Bombyx mori: one gene and its partners. Each later gene encodes a partner of the first gene's protein in a complex. Links are inferred from orthologs where the notes say so. Each region holds a gene or a part of one and is shown on either strand. Other genes may lie near its edges.

The links.
Region 2: DNA replication licensing factor Mcm6 (region 1) and DNA replication complex GINS protein PSF1 share a complex: the UniProt entries of both Homo sapiens proteins name them as parts of the CMG helicase complex. The link is inferred for Bombyx mori from reciprocal best matches to the Homo sapiens genes MCM6 and GINS1.
Region 3: DNA replication licensing factor Mcm6 (region 1) and cell division control protein 45 homolog share a complex: the UniProt entries of both Homo sapiens proteins name them as parts of the CMG helicase complex. The link is inferred for Bombyx mori from reciprocal best matches to the Homo sapiens genes MCM6 and CDC45.
Region 4: DNA replication licensing factor Mcm6 (region 1) and DNA replication complex GINS protein SLD5 share a complex: the UniProt entries of both Homo sapiens proteins name them as parts of the CMG helicase complex. The link is inferred for Bombyx mori from reciprocal best matches to the Homo sapiens genes MCM6 and GINS4.

What each region holds. Positions count from the first base shown.
Region 1 is NC_085132.1:5,464,727-5,468,680, reverse strand, and holds the start of DNA replication licensing factor Mcm6, read left to right. Parts: upstream 1-1,154; 5' UTR 1,155-1,296; intron 1,297-2,295; exon of another isoform or gene 2,296-2,529; intron 2,530-2,633; 5' UTR 2,634-2,643; coding exon 2,644-2,735; intron 2,736-2,908; coding exon 2,909-3,332; intron 3,333-3,454; coding exon 3,455-3,646; intron 3,647-3,775; coding exon 3,776-3,948; intron 3,949-3,954. Other genes in the region: uncharacterized protein LOC101741249, read right to left, coding at 1-41, 123-220. UniProt on the Homo sapiens protein: Acts as a component of the MCM2-7 complex (MCM complex) which is the replicative helicase essential for 'once per cell cycle' DNA replication initiation and elongation in eukaryotic cells.
Region 2 is NC_085118.1:17,161,055-17,164,889, reverse strand, and holds DNA replication complex GINS protein PSF1, read left to right. Parts: upstream 1-1,400; 5' UTR 1,401-1,530; coding exon 1,531-1,602; intron 1,603-1,864; coding exon 1,865-1,929; intron 1,930-2,768; coding exon 2,769-3,219; 3' UTR 3,220-3,335; downstream 3,336-3,835. UniProt on the Homo sapiens protein: Required for correct functioning of the GINS complex, a complex that plays an essential role in the initiation of DNA replication, and progression of DNA replication forks.
Region 3 is NC_085122.1:1,052,313-1,056,525, reverse strand, and holds the start of cell division control protein 45 homolog, read left to right. Parts: upstream 1-1,413; 5' UTR 1,414-1,550; coding exon 1,551-1,601; intron 1,602-1,676; coding exon 1,677-1,967; intron 1,968-2,424; coding exon 2,425-2,499; intron 2,500-2,638; coding exon 2,639-2,773; intron 2,774-2,929; coding exon 2,930-3,106; intron 3,107-4,213. Other genes in the region: RNA polymerase II-associated protein 1, read left to right, coding at 1-395. UniProt on the Homo sapiens protein: Required for initiation of chromosomal DNA replication. Core component of CDC45-MCM-GINS (CMG) helicase, the molecular machine that unwinds template DNA during replication, and around which the replisome is built.
Region 4 is NC_085121.1:9,245,601-9,249,611, forward strand, and holds the start of DNA replication complex GINS protein SLD5, read left to right. Parts: upstream 1-1,211; 5' UTR 1,212-2,408; coding exon 2,409-2,985; intron 2,986-3,667; coding exon of another isoform or gene 3,668-3,690; exon of another isoform or gene 3,691-4,011. Other genes in the region: opsin-1, read right to left, coding at 1,068-1,074. UniProt on the Homo sapiens protein: Required for correct functioning of the GINS complex, a complex that plays an essential role in the initiation of DNA replication, and progression of DNA replication forks.

The DNA.
Region 1 (3,954 bases):
CTGGTAGTCCATAACCTTTAGTTACTTCTTTACATTTCATTCTGAAATAGATAGTTTTTTTTTTTTAATATCCAGATAACTCGATACAATATATAAATGTGACAAACATTTTTGTTACATACAAATAATAACTTTTCAACACATTTTGAAGATTGTTGGATATATTTGATGGTAAGGAAGACGCTATTTTATATAGAAAGGCTATTTTTGTTTCTGTCATTTTCAATGATTAGTGCACTTAAAAACAACTTTATTGGGAAGTTGTCTTACTAATTACTACATATTATGAAACTTCATAACTTTCTCAAACGCTAATCAGTGGAGCGATTTTTTTTAATGGATTTTATGACCTGGTAAAAAAGACCTTTAAGTCATGTCTTATTTTAATTTATATTCTTATTTCTATGAAAAATGATAAAATGGAGTGAAATGAAATGAAGATGATTAATTTGAGACATTAATCAACTGGGATGAAATTAAATGAAATGAGATGATATGGAATGAAATATAATCGCAGTAAAATGGTGGTCATTTACTGAGATTTCTCAGTGGACTTTTTGGAGGGTATTGTCCATGGTTATAACCACTCTCACTCGTTTCCGCCAAACTTTTATAATCTAGATGTTTCAAATATTCATAAAGGTAGCTTTCCAATTACAGCGCATAATGCGACTCAATAGCACACAATGCTGAATTATGCTGAATCTTAATTGGAACGTAAAATAGTTTTCAAATGCATCAGCAGAGTGCGATAAGTTCAATGTTGAAAAAAAATATTCATGGAGTTGGCAACCTCATTAATATATAAATAATGTAGTAAACAATAATAATTGGTTGAAAACTATTTACGGTTATTTTAAGTAATTTGGATTTTTATTATTTCATTAACATTTTTTTACATTTTGAGTATTTTTTTTAAATGAGTTCTATGAAAATTATATACTTTTTAAGTGAATCATCCATACTTATATTTTTTTTAGCACAGTTTCAATTAACTTTGATTATTTCCAAGAAACTACGACGAAACGAAAGCCTTACAAAATTTTTCAACAATAAATAATATTACTAACGATAATATAAACAAAATTTCGATCAATTCCAACTTAAAGAAAAAACACTTGTCAATTTTCTGTCACTGAGTCGGTATCGATTGCGAGTATCACGCGAGAGCAGTACTTTTGAGAGTGCTCGATTGTGCGAAGCGTTGCTGTAGTAGGAACATTCGACGTTGAGCATTATGCCGCATAATGCGCTCTAGTGCTGTAATTGGAAAACAGGGAAAATAAACAACTTTAGGTTCGTTACATAATTCTAACGGATTCGTTAAATAATTCTTTCCGCTTTCAGTTTTCACTGACAGATCAAGTGCTACATTATAATTTTTAACATGCATTTCATATTTTATTGAAGCATGTACATATCTTACTTATTAGTTTTTACGACTGAATAAGAGTTTTGGGGTTTTACCTGTCCAACTGGATCGGCAAGTTTTGATAAAATCTACAGAACAGTAGGGTGAGCACGAACAGCTCTCGAAAAACTAATCGTATAGTTATTGAAAAAAATGCCAAGGAGTCAAACAGTGCCCCAAGCGTATCTATAAGTGTTGGAGTTTGAATATATAAGATTATCTCCATGTATGTAAGCGATGGTAGGCAACACTTGACACATGTAAGGTCACAGATTTCAAATATTGGAATGCTTATTTAAATGTTTAAAACAAATAATTTGTCTTCTCGTCAGTGAAGACAATGACTTCTCATCTAGACACGGACAGAGTAACATCTTAGAGTTGTATCAAAATAAAATATTATAATGGTGTAATAGTGTACAAAGTATTTGCAATATAATTAAATTAACCATGAAGCAGAGTGTTTTTAAATAGCCTCTCTCCTCCAGAACCTAGTCCCCTTAAATTTAACCGTCCAACAATAAAAACTAATTGTGCTAGTCCGAAAGATTTTAGACACTTCATATGGTCATGTTATTTAATAATGAAACTTATGCACATAATCGAGAGTACCGTACCAGCTTTATTTTGACGTAAGGAAAATTCTTCCGATATTTAAAATTGCATTTGGAACATTCTTGTCTTGAACTACTTACTTAATTATGTAAGCATTTCTTCATATTTAGTGTATTATTATTGTTCCACCGCAGTCACTGTTTTTCTTTTCAATGTAAATACTTTATAATATCTGACAAAGAGAAGAAAATAATGTAGTGTAGTACTGCTTTGTCTTTGCCTATTCTTTATGAATAGATAAATTTTTATTGTTTTTGAAGGGACAATTTTACAACGTTTTCCCGCCCTCGGGACCCTCTTGTCAGTCTGACGTTCAATCTGTCATAGTTCAAATTGGTACGCTTGTACACATGTTTGAATTTTTATCGGTTCTCGTTTTCAAAATATTTTCTTTTTAAAGTTTTATTAAACAAAATCAACTAATAATATTGAAGTAATTGAGCTCTGTCCATAGAAACGATTAGCCCATCTAAGTGAGAATCATTACAGAACACGTGTAACCGGTTACTTGTTTATTGTCATTGTTTTAAAGTTGCAGATTGCAGAATCGTTTAACAAACTTTGCAAATTAACTCACCCTTAAGCTCTGGTGTTACATATTATTCAGGTCGTGAACCATGGATGTAGCTGACACATATGCCACACAGAGTCAAGTAAAAGATGAAGTGGGAATTCGATGCCAAAAGCTTTTTCAAGACTTCTTAGAAGAGTATGTTTGATTTTAAAAATCAAGTTTGTTATAATACTAAGTTATTTGTTTTTTTATTTACCATATTATGAATAAATGCTTTTCTTCCATATTTTCATTAGTTGGCAAACAGACTTCTTGATATAAATTTAAAACCGCTTCAGCAAATAATTAACAAAAAAAAATATTTACAGATTTAAGGAAGATAACGAAATCAAATATGAGAAACATGCTAAGGAACTATTGAAACCAGAGCTCAGTACCCTTGAAGTTAGTTTTGATGATGTTGAAAAGTACAACCAGAATCTTGCTACCACAATAATTGAAGAGTATTATAGGATATATCCATTTCTAAACAGAGCCATTTTGAATTACATACTCAGTCTTGCGGAAACTGGAATGAAAAAAGATCTACAAGATAAAGAATGCTATGTTTCATTTGTTGATGTACCAACAAGACACAAAGTAAGGGAGTTAACCACAGCAAAGATTGGTACTCTCATAAGGATCTCTGGGCAGATTGTAAGGACACATCCAGTTCACCCTGAATTAGTTCAGGGCACATTTGTGTGCTTAGATTGTCAAACAGTTATTAAAAATGTAGAGCAACAGTTTAAGGTAAGATTTTTTAATTAATTGATTTTATTAATTCTTTAGAGAAATACAGTAACTTAATAAAATTAAATGGAATTAATTAAAATAAATAATAAATTAATTAACAAATATTATTTTATCCTCAGTACACAATTCCAACAATCTGCCGTAATCCTGTATGTGCTAATAGAAGGCGTTTTATGCTGGACGCAGACAAGAGCGTTTTTGTTGACTTCCAAAAGATACGAATCCAGGAAACCCAAGCTGAATTGCCCCGTGGTTGCATACCCAGATCTCTTGAAGTGATATTGAGGGCTGAAGCTGTTGAATCTGTGCAGGTGAATTTAAAAGAAACATGATATGGACAAGACCTGAACTTCCCAATTTCTCGATATTTGTAAAGCCAAAAATATCAAACTAAGATTAATCAATCTAAATTGAAACTAAAAGTATAATTTGTTTTTTAGGCTGGTGACCGTTATGATTTTACAGGAACACTGATTGTAGTGCCTGATGTGGGAGCCTTGTCAATGCCAGGCTCCAGGGCTGAGATTACAACCAGGACTAAATTAGCAAATGAAGGTCAAATGGAAGGCATAAAGGGACTCAAGGCTCTTGGAGTGCGAGAACTGCATTATAAGTGAGG
Region 2 (3,835 bases), on another chromosome or scaffold:
GGGAGGGGGAGGGGGGGGGGGGGTTAGGGCGGGGGATATTATCTTGTTGAACACCCAGTAAAACGAAGTCACTTTTTGATTCCTGATTTAATCAACAATATGATAACTTAATTCACTTTAACATTTATCCAACCTTAACCAGTACGTAAAACAGTCACTTAATCACACAATGTAACAAGGATATAGTAAGTGCACCGAGCAAACGCAGTCGGCCGGGGCACCTGGCTTATCTATGAGTCACTCCTGTTGCACGTGCTGTTTTACGAGTGGAGTGACACGGCCGGCGCACCTGGCTTGTGTATGACTCACTCCTATTGCACGTGCTGTATAACAGAAGTAACGTTAACGCCGTCATAGATATGTTACTGCTTATTATTTCTGTGTGTTAACACAACGTAACGACATTGGGAATGTCGTTGGTGTAGAGAGCGTAGAGGATCGGTGACAGGATACCTCCTTGGGGAACCCCAGCTGTGGCTGGGCGCATCCACGATTTAGCGCTCTTGACCGCGACAAAAAGAGTTCTGCCCTCCAGGTACGACCCCAGTAGTCGCACGTAGGCGTGCTGGAAGTCCGTGTTCTGCACCAACTTGCAGATAAGCCCCGCACGCCAGACACGGTTGAAGGCCTTCTCGAAATCGAGAAATACTGCCGCCATGTACTGGCGTGCGTTGGACCGTCAAAAGGTGCATAACGCAGACCAATTGCAGCGTTGTTGAGTGACTGCTACGTATCCAGAATTGCTCGGGTCTGAGAAGGATGTGCGGAGACACTCTTCTCACCAGCAGCCGCTCGAACAACTTGCCCACATACGACAACAGGGTAATCGGACGATAATTGGAGGGCTGTCTTCTGTCCTTCTAAATTCCCGGGAAATATCCTGTAGACAGAATGTAATTAAACAGCCGTGTCTTAAAAGACACGACTGATTCTAGAAAGTGGAAAAATGCAAGGGTGAGAATACCGTCCTCACACAATGCCTTGCGCCTCTTTATCCGCTTGATAAGGAGGCGCAATTCAGCGGGAATGATGAAATCATCATGTCCCAGAGGTGGCACCGGGAGGTTAGTTTGCACGTCGAACACTTTGTTGAGTTCGACGAGTACGGTTATCAGGGTCCCTAAGTCTGCTCCTAATGTTAAAGTTGAAAGCGTCTTTGCAAGAGTAATTGGATCTGATGGTCGACCCGATAAGGAGAGTGAGATTATTATTGGCTGTATTGCTACTAAGTGATTATCTGTAAAAAGTTACTTGTATGACTTAGCTCCCACTTCTAGAAAATTTTAATATCTTAAGATTAGGTTTTGGTATTATAGATTTAAAGATCAAGGCTTCTGTGATTTTCGAACTCATCCAAAAATGATGCGTATCCGATCATAAAATGTCAAATTTACTATCTGTCACAGTCTTGAGCTGTCACTCATCAAATTAATAACAACTTTCGCGCCAATGCCAAAAATGTTTTTATCTAAATTATTAAAGTATTTTGTTTGTTATCTCTCTCATTGTTAAGTAAATAAGTAACACACAATGTTCGCAGAAAAAGTTATAGAACTAATTAAAGAAGTAGATAGAAATCCTGACACAATAGATCAATATAATGTAAGTTGGATGTGCCCATCTAGGTATGGGATTGGAATTAGAATAAACTTGTTATATCTAATGAAAGCTTTAAGTTACTATTTAATACCGAAACCAAGATTTTATCCGGTTGTCATCTATTCTGTTTGTCTATGCATATGCACTATAAAGTCAGAAATCCATTTAGAAGTGACAAGTATATTAAATTATTGTTATAGCACCGCCTATTATTATTTTTGTGTCTTTTAATCTTATAAAGTACATAGTATTTCACATGTTACAGGATGAAAAAATACGCCAAATAATAGAAGAAATGCATTTATTATTTAAATTGAACATGAATGATGCGTAAGTCACTGGTTTTCTACTAATATAACTGCAAGTAGTTATTGTTCAATATGCAAGATTTGCTATGATCACTTCTATTCTGTAACCTCCTATTCTGTTTCATGTGATGCAAAAGTGCTCAGGTAACCTTGTAACTCCAGGAAGGTCTATTTTTGTTTTTTTTTGTCAATCTATTGCTACTAACCTCGAGGGGTTATGCTAGCTTCATGGGATTTGAGGTAGCCCTGAGATCTCTCACCCAATTATGCAAAAAAAAGTTTTATGACTTTTTTGTTTTATAACTCTTCACATTCAAGCAGTTTGGATAACTTGCCCAGCAGATTTGATAGCTTTACTGGTTGTGCTTGAGTAGCACAGATATCTCACCCAGCAGATTTGTTACAGCACTACGGTTATGTATCTGCTTAAAAATACTTTAGTGGACAGGCTTGGCTTCAATTTCTAACCAAATCTTAGCTCAGCTTATTGAGTTTTTTTACAGTGTAGTTGTTTTTTAATAATAGTACTAATTATTGTTTTTGGTATATAAAAAAAATAGAGAAATGTGTGTTTGTTTGTTGATCTTAAAGTACTTTTAAAATGTTTCTCTAATTTGGCCAAAATCGGTCTGAGTTGCTGGTCCGCACAAACGAAAACGTCATTTAGTGCAAAGGGGTTAATATTTTCATGCACTTGAGTCTCATGTGGTGTTGTAATAAGGTTACCTGCTATTAGTCCATTTTAATTTAAATTTCAAAAATATGTAGTTCAATTGCTCATCAAGTTCATTTATAGAAGAAGAAGATAACAACAAACTGTTTTATGATTACCGCTTGTATTAATTGAATTACTATTTTTAGTAATGCTACAACAGAAAACAGATCATTGTGGACCACAGTTCAAGTAAGACATTCTGCCCTTGAACGCAATAAAAGGTGTATATTAGCCTATCTCTACAACAGAATGAAAAAAATTAAGACATTACGTTGGGAATTTGGTGCAGTACTACCTCCAGATATCAGAGAATTGCTTTCTGATGATGAATATCAATGGTTTTCAAAATACTCTGGAAATCTTGCTTTGTATATGAGATCTTTAGGCCAAGATATAGGATACAGTGGCATAGACTTGACTGAAAATTTAAAGCCCCCTAAATCATTGTTCATCGAAGTGCTTTGTGTTGTGGATTATGGTAAATTAGAACTTGAAGATGGTGATGTGGTTATGCTTAAGAAGAATAGCAGACATTATCTTCCTACTTCGGAATGTCAGACTTTAATACGACAGGGTATTCTGAAACAAATAATGTGAATTTATTTTATCAATAGTGAATTTTTGACCATTTTATGTTTTAAATAATATTGTGAAAAATAATGTTTGATGTCTGTATGGAAATAAATTTTATGAGAAGATTATTTTTACCATAAGCTTAGTGATTTGACTTGATTAGATTTGCACCTCCTAATAAAGCAAGTGTGTGTCCATTTTTTTTACTATCCCTGATGGGTGAAAGAGCAGTCATAGTGGCCTAAAGAATATAATGCTTGCTGTAGTCAAATCAAATGATGCAACAATCAATATCATCATCAGCCCCGAGGTCTCCTAATATCAGACTTCAGACTTAGAACTTTTGTTTAGGTGTGTGGCAGCATTTGCGTTTTTGATATTTACGTGCCCTGTTAATGAGCTGGCATTGAAAAAAACTATTTTCTCAAAAAAGATACAGCGCAGTTTTTTTTTTTTTTTTTTCCTACCTATGATGGTAGCCTTGAGGGCTCAAACCTGATGACGTTGCTAACACGAACCCTAGCAAGAGCCGTGCTTCGCAGAATCTACCACCGGATCGGAAACGCGACCCACTGAGAAGATACGGCGAGAAACTCAGTGGGCTGTGTCTGGGAGTTAATTTACTCGTCGAGCCCTTCGA
Region 3 (4,213 bases), on another chromosome or scaffold:
AATCAGCCTTCAATTTCGATAAACAATTAACGGGCTTGAACAACTTCCAAGATTTCTACACACAGTTTCTAGAACAATTCCAAGCGGTCAGCTATGGAGATGACGTGTTTTCTGCATGTGTATTGGTGCCTTTAGCTCAAAAGCATAATGTTAAATGGAGGAAATTGATATGGTCGGAATATGCTGGATGTCTCCGGGCGTTAGATTGCCCGGAACAACTACTTTGTTATGAAGTAAATGAGTATCTTTATCCAGAAGAGACGGACGAATCTTTGATTAAATCTTATCATCGCGCGCTATCCTGTAATTTACTACGACCGGATACAATAATGCATAAAATTGCGAGTCATCACGTGCACATATTCAAGAATCGATCTCAGATACAAAACACTTGAAATTACTAAAATACAATGTAACGTTTTTCTTGTTGACATTTTTGTCAATAAGATATTTTGACGGTATTCATTTTAAACTTCAGGAAGCATTTTCTCCAATTAACCTGATTTGTGTGGACAAAATTGATTTTTGTTCCTGTAGATCAACTCACGATGAACTCACATGCTACATTATTCAATGTAAACTCTCAACTATAGTATACGAAAGCCTTTATGACTTCTCTAACTACCCATGGCGAACGTGGCTTTTTGTAATAAGTAATAAAGGATTGAATTTTCAATATGAATTAAATTATTTTAATTTAATTAACCCTTAATATCCCCTGTTTTTCCCGTTTCGGTAAGTCGTTTCTGTTCCAATCTTAAGCCCCACCACCCTCGTTAAAATATGAGGTCGAAATTCTTGAATTGTCGACGAAACATTAATTCCGTCCCGTCCTTCAAGCACCGCGTGAATCCTTCGCGGCGTATATTATTTGTAATATAGTGGTACCCAAATAACCCATTGCTATATTAATTTAATTGAAGAAGTAACAGGAGGGGGCTTCGAACGCCTGGGTGAGAGTACAGGAGAGTCGTTTCGTAGGCGTCTGGACCTCGTAGGAGGATCAGAAATAAAGTACCTATTTTTATTCCGGAGTGAAATAAAGATAAATCCAATGGCAACAACAAAAATTAAATTACCATCTTCTTGTTTGGTATGTAGCTCATGTAAATTTTTGCATGTTTTCGTGTTTATGAAAAGAAAGTGTTAATTTATAAAAAAAAAATTGTTATTAGGCAGCAAGTGCTCAAGAGCGGGGAAATACAAAAAATGTCTTGAAATACTAGTCTGGTTCTTAGAAGCCATTGTGAAGTCTTAGTAGAATGGCCGCATTCTACTGGATAAAATAACTAAATAACTATTCTACTTAAACCCAGTCGACGGCCGTGCAAATATATGAAGTTGACAACTGGTTTACGCGGGAAAATTACTTAACAGTTAGTTTCAAAATGTCAACAAGAACAAAATATTGACATTATTGACAAGTTAATGACAGAAGCCGCAGGTGTTCAATTTCAATGGTGGTTCAATGTTTTTTATATGTTAAAAATTTCTAACACTCATAGGAAAATGGTTATTTCCTGAGTTATTCGTTCCTGTGTACGGCAAAAATGTTTATAGAGGACCTCAGAAATGACTTTTACAATCTCCTTTTAGGCAATGTAAGCTTTAAAACTGAAGATAAATATTCGTGAAATATTGACCTGAAAATTGTATTTTTGTTAATTTACTTCCAGCGCGTGTTATTATTAGTGCATTATGATGTAGATGCAATATGTACATGTAAAATACTTCAAGGATTATTCAAGAGTGATAATATATCATATACGCTAGTGCCGGTGGGGGGTATTTCTGAATTGAAGACTGCTTACGAAGAAAACAATGAAGAAGTCAAGTACGTAGTGTTGGTGAACTGCGGAGGTACTATAGACCTGGTCGATATCTTACAGCCCGAGGAGGATGTGGTATTTTTTGTGCTGGACTCCCATAAACCGACTGATGTCTGCAATGTTTATAGCGATGGACAGGTTAGTGGAACTAGAGAGAGCAGCAGATGTTATAAATACTTTATGTTGGCAATGATTTGGGAATTGAATTTTTAGACAGACATAAACTTGCTTATGGATGGGTGAACAAATGAAAAAAGTTCTTAATCCACTCCATTTCATATGAAGTTTGGGTGAATAAACAAGAATAACTGTTCAAAAGACTAGATTAGTTAGTTAGAGATAGAGAGATAGCTTAGAGCCTAAATTTGACAAAGTACATAATCATTATGTTAGGATATGACACAAAGTGCAGCAAAATGTTTCAACAGAACAGAATCAAAAGACTTGACCTCAAATAAAGGAAGGGAATTTAGAAGCTAACATGGCTTTATTGTTTTAACATTTAGAAAGAAAAAAAAACATGTTCAGTGAAGTTAGTACAACCCCACTAGATTACTAGATAGTAGGTAGAAATATATATTTTGTTCTGTTACAGGTGAGACTGGTGTACCGTGATGAAGAAGAGAACATTCCTAATTTTGATGATATATTCAGAGATGATGATGATGAGGTACGAAACTGTAATATCTGATTTAAGACTATTTTGCAATGCTGCAAACTCCAAAAGTTTTTAAAAATCTAGTTTACAATAAAAATTTAATGGTATTTAAAATTTGAAGTCAGTGTGAAGATATTAAAAATAATTACAGAACGAAGAAGAAATGCCAAGTGGTCGAGAAGACCTAGAAGCTTTTGTCGAGAGACGGCGTCAACGTAGAGAATGGGAAACAAAACGAAACGATCTTATGTTTAACTACACTCAATTCTCATATTATGGTAAACCGGTGAGTAAAACGTCTGATAAACCTATTGAACTGTGTTAACAATAATTATGGACATTAATGAATAAAGTAGATCCAGTCTTGTATCAATCTCACTTGTAATATGAATTTGACAATTATTTACAGATAAGTCTTAATCTAATAATACATTTGCATTAGAGTGCTTGCATAGCAGTAGAGCTGGCCTGGCTGCTATGTCGCAGCGGAGTGGAGTACACGTGGGCCGGATGCATAGCTGTCAGTGCGTATGCTGCCACTCACACACGCTCCCCTGCACAAGCTCTGCTTGATGCACATGCGCTGCATCGACATCTCGCCGCGCAACTACCTTCACATGTGAGTATGTTACTGCACATAAATATATGGGCACACACCAATATCATGCACGAGATACAACTACTGTACATTGCCACGGGTATTACTTAAGCTGGGTAGCCTTTAGAGGTTATGCCAGCGTAAACGAGAGAGTAGGTGAGCTCACGGGGCTCTAAGCTGTGGACGTTGCTAACTCTAGCCCTAGCACTGGTCTGCTTCTATCGGTTTGGATCCATCACCGGATCGGAAGGTCTGGCGAGAAACTCAGTGGGCTGTGTAAGTGGGTTAATTTACTTTTTTTTTTTTTTTTTTTTTTTTTTTTTTCCGGGCCGTGGGCCGAACCTCCTACGAGGTCCCCGCGCCTAGGGGGCGCGCGGGGTATGTGAGACTCAACGATCTGCAGGTGTTGAGAGCAGACCGCGGGCCCAAGGAATTTAGGGCCCACCCACTAAACGACTCCCCTGCACTCTTACACCCGGCGTCCGATCTCCGTCCGGGGTCAAAACCCGGTCAGAGTAGGGGGGTTCCCGCGGTCAACACTACAACCAGACACGCGGCGCCACCCCGAGGACGCCCGACCGACGGGTCGTCGAGGCGATAGTCGACGACCAACGACGTCAGTCTCCGCGGTACGGCGGCCCTTCAGGCCGCCCGGGCGATGCCGCTGGTGTTCCGGGATACCCCGCTGGGCCAGAACCAGCCTGCCGGGTCGGAACGCGATACACCGCCGACCGGGTTGCTCTTCCACAGTGTTCGGCGACGACAGCGACGACGAAAATGCGGACCGCATCGCAGTCCGCAGCCGCCGACGCGTCGTCCCGTCCTCCTGGTGCCAGCGCGCTAGAGTGACGGTAGCGTGCGGCGCAGTCTCAGCCCCCTTAGGTCGCCCCGTGACCATCACCGGGAGGAGACTGCCTCCTCATAGGGGCCGGAGCTGGACAAACGCCCTCCTCCGACCCCCGGCTCGACGGCGGCGGCACGGCGCCGAGAGGGAGGAAGAGTTCTCCCTCTCCCGTTCCGCCGCCTCCTTCTGCGAGATGGTGGACACGCAGAAGTCGAGCATCGCCTGCCAGGACTCATCGCTGCCGAGCATCGCAGCCACGACGGTCGGAAGCGACAAGTCCGGTC
Region 4 (4,011 bases), on another chromosome or scaffold:
GGTAGGGATGCATGGGTCCAAGTTAGCTCGTTTAGCTGCATATTAAGAATCGATTCTAAGCCATTTTTGATTAAAGTCTACTTGTGTCAAAAGATCTGGGTGATTCCAAAAAGAGCAGCAATGGAGCACATACGTAAATTTTGGAACGAAAAAACTAAATTTTAAGATGCAAAGTGCTTAATGTGGACTAATTTCAAGGAAACGGTCAGCAGAATTTTGAAATTTAGTAATAAATTTAGTTATTTATAAAATAAACTATGTTTAAGTGCCGCCGTTATAGTACGGTTGATATTTGCAAAGTACAGCTATTTGTAAGTACAGATATTTGTAAGTACAGCTCTGTATTACTGAGGTAATGTAGTTATGCGACTTCAAAGAAGCAGGTTTATGTGGCTAACAAGATTAAATGTCTTCGCTAGTACGTACGTACATTATTCGATACAAAAACTGCAATTAATTGTTTAAAACAAACTAGGTGTGTCCCGCGGCCCACGGCTCTATTTTAAGTAAAATTTAGAATGAATAATGTAAATGTATTTACGGGATGGTCAGTGTGCTTGTACCAAGCACATGTACAACAACTTTCAGTAGTAATGTCCGAAGTAGAGTTCATTGTTCCATCCACAGCTCATTTCTAGAAATAATTCTAGGATGAACTCTATAGCAAAGTATTTCTGAAAGCTATATTCAGACGAGTTTTGAAAATAATATGTAGTTTTAAGTGGGAGGCGACGCACTCTTTCATAGTGTCAGCACTGGCTTTTCTCTTCTGAATATCGACTTTTTTCGTTTTCTTGCTCTTCATCCCTAATTTTACTAGTAAGATAAGGCTTGCTGTAAGCCTACTAGGATGGCTCGAGCACCCATTACTACTGAGACTTCCACAACATGAAGCAATAAAAAAATATTTAAAAATATTAACCATTCAACCCTTCAAACCAGGATGATGATTGGTTTGCACAAGAAATAAACAAGATGGTATGGCGGCTTATACTAATTTTATTACAGCGTTCGATGTTATTCCTTCACTACTAAACTTTGTTCAAGAACACAGTGGAGAAACATACTTAACATACAGGAACATTATCATTTGTAGAAATCGAACTTGATATTAAATATCATCGAGACTCATAGCTGCTCACTCACTCTTCGTAGTATTACTTATGATAGAAATAGATAAAACATTGGTTCAAACTAGAGGTGGCTAATATAACCAATAACCAATAAATTTACCGGTAAAAAAAATTAACACTTCTATTCGATAAATAAAATTACCCAAAACGGTTAAAAATACCGTTTACCAAACACACTGCGTGTAGTGGCATAGGCAATTATTGGAAATTATATTTATGCAAGTTTCAACTTTATTTCAACACGTAAGATTCATTTTCGCCTTGCAGATGTCTTCAACTTATCATGTAAAAAATATTGAATTTTATGATTTCATTGTATGCTCTATACCCCTCAAAATAAAGCACAATATTTAAGTTGGTGTATTTTACAGTTAATGATAATTTTTTTCGTTAAAAAATTGAAATGAAACGATATTTTTACCGAACGCGAAGATGACGTGATTGGTTGATTTTTTAAACGTAATATTTTGTTTGGTACTTGACATTTTGGTGGCTCAGTGCATCTTTTCTATTATTTTGGTAAAGTTGTGTTTTTGTATTTTAAGAGATTTGTACTTTGTGTTTGTGTGTTTTGACTTTGTTTTTGTGTGTTTGAGACTTTGCTTACTTTGTTGTTGTGGATTTTTAAATTGTATATCTAATTTAAAATGCCGAAACGCAATGCAGAAATATGGGATCATTTCGAAAAGTGCTAGTACCATTCAAGTTTAACATTAGCAAAATTAATTTTTCAACGAAAAGATTTACCGGTATTTTCAACCAATAAAAATATCGGTAATTTTTTTTATCAATTACCAGTTAACAGATAAATAAATTCAACCGTTAACGCCATCTCTAGTTCAAACCAACAAAGTTTTAAACAAATAGTAAGCAAAAAAATCTGTGAGAAAAAAAATTACATTATTTTACCATAAACTTATTATTTCAATAAAGGTAGTAGAAATAAAATCCCGTGCTATTCAGAAGAAAAAAAAAATTAATGACAATTGAGGTATGTCATAAAGTAACAATTTGTTTAGTACAGAAAGCAAGACAAAAATACAGAAAATTTTAATAAAAGAAAAAGATAAAAGAAAAAAAAACTATGATTGTAATGTAGTGAAACATGAATGCGATTATATACTCTTTAAATTTATAATGAATTGGTAAAAAAAGCTCTTTAGAACCTAAAAAACACCAGAACTCAAATTCGAGTCGTGAAAGCTAGAATAATATCATTCAGTGACAATCTAAAGTTGCACTAGAATTCTGTGGGTATATATAATTTAGAAGAATATGGAGTCAACCGAAGAGTTGCAGTTCAGTGATGATGAAGAAGAAGTAACAGCTGAGACTGTTTTAAAAACACTACAAAGTGCTTGGCAAAATGAAAGATTGTCCCCAGAAATACTCCCTCATCAAAATGACATGGTAGAATGTATGTTAGGTCAAATACAACACATGGAAAGAAACATAAATAAACTTTCAAAAACTGATTTGAGAACTTCTATACACAAAATGGAGATTAGCAGAATTAAATTTATTATTTGTAATTATCTTAAAACTAGACTGAATAAGATTGAAAAATATTGCATTCCAATACTAAACCAAGAAAGACAAAGAATAGAAACTGATACTAATTACCTAACACCATCAGAATATAAATATGCTCAAGAATATGTTTTGAACATGGAAAATCATATGAAAAATGTGGTATTAAATAAAATGCCTGGTAATATGCAAGTCTTTGAAATGAACAAAATGGCAGAACATCCTAATTTACAAACGCATGTATTCCTTAAAGCCAATGAAACCATTAATGGGGTTGTATTAGAAGACTTGACTGGTGAAGATGAAGAAATTGACTTAGAAGGTTTGTTATTGATTTTCTCACAACTGAAACACATTATAGGTTTTCTTTTGTTATACTTTGATAGATAGAGCAATACCCTTGTTGGTTTAATGACCTTGACTATTGTACCACAGGATATCACCTATATCATTGAAGTTATCATGACTTAAATAATAATATTATGGTATATTGAATGATTTGATTATATATGTCTTAAATTGAATCTAATTCTGTTTGATTAATCCACAAAAAAGAAATAACACTATGGAAACAATAAACTTGCCAAAATAAAAATAATATCCCATAATTATTGGTGGTAGGCCATATGGGAATGTGTCACCAATTAATTAGTCTCTGCCATAAAGCAGTCATGAAGTTTGAAGAATGGGGACAGTCCCCATACTAGACAATGGAGACTTAGACCTCATATCTCAGGAGGTATTCACTTTTTATAGTATTTATAGATTTTGGTGAACATTTAACATTGTGTATGTCTGACACATACAACACTTCTGAACATACATTATGTAGCAATCTCAGAAATAAAAAAAAATCAAACACAGTGAATGATATTTACCATAGGAGTTAAAATCTTATACTTTTAAACTAATCTAAAGTGCAAAGTTGTGCTATAATTAAAATTATTATTTTTTTTAATTAAAACCTTGAGGCAAGAGTTCTAAGTCTCCGTTTTATGACTCAGTTAATGGCTGCCCCAACTCTTAAACCAAAACGCATTACTGCTTCATGGCAGAAATAGGCAGGGTGGTGGTACACATCATGCAGGCTCACAAGACACCGTACCACTAGTGAAAGTGTAAGTAAGATGTTAAATGATAAAGCTGTAATGTAAAAATGCTTGTAATTACCTTAACATTTCAATTTAAAGTCTAAATTTTATTGTAGGTATGTAGCCCAACCATATACTTACACCAGTAAAGTCAAATTTATTAATTTCGTAGGTTTGTAATTGCAGTAATGCTATCTATATAAATACTAAGTTTATGCATTTCCTCAGAAAACTAGGGAATGTCATAGAATTTTAAA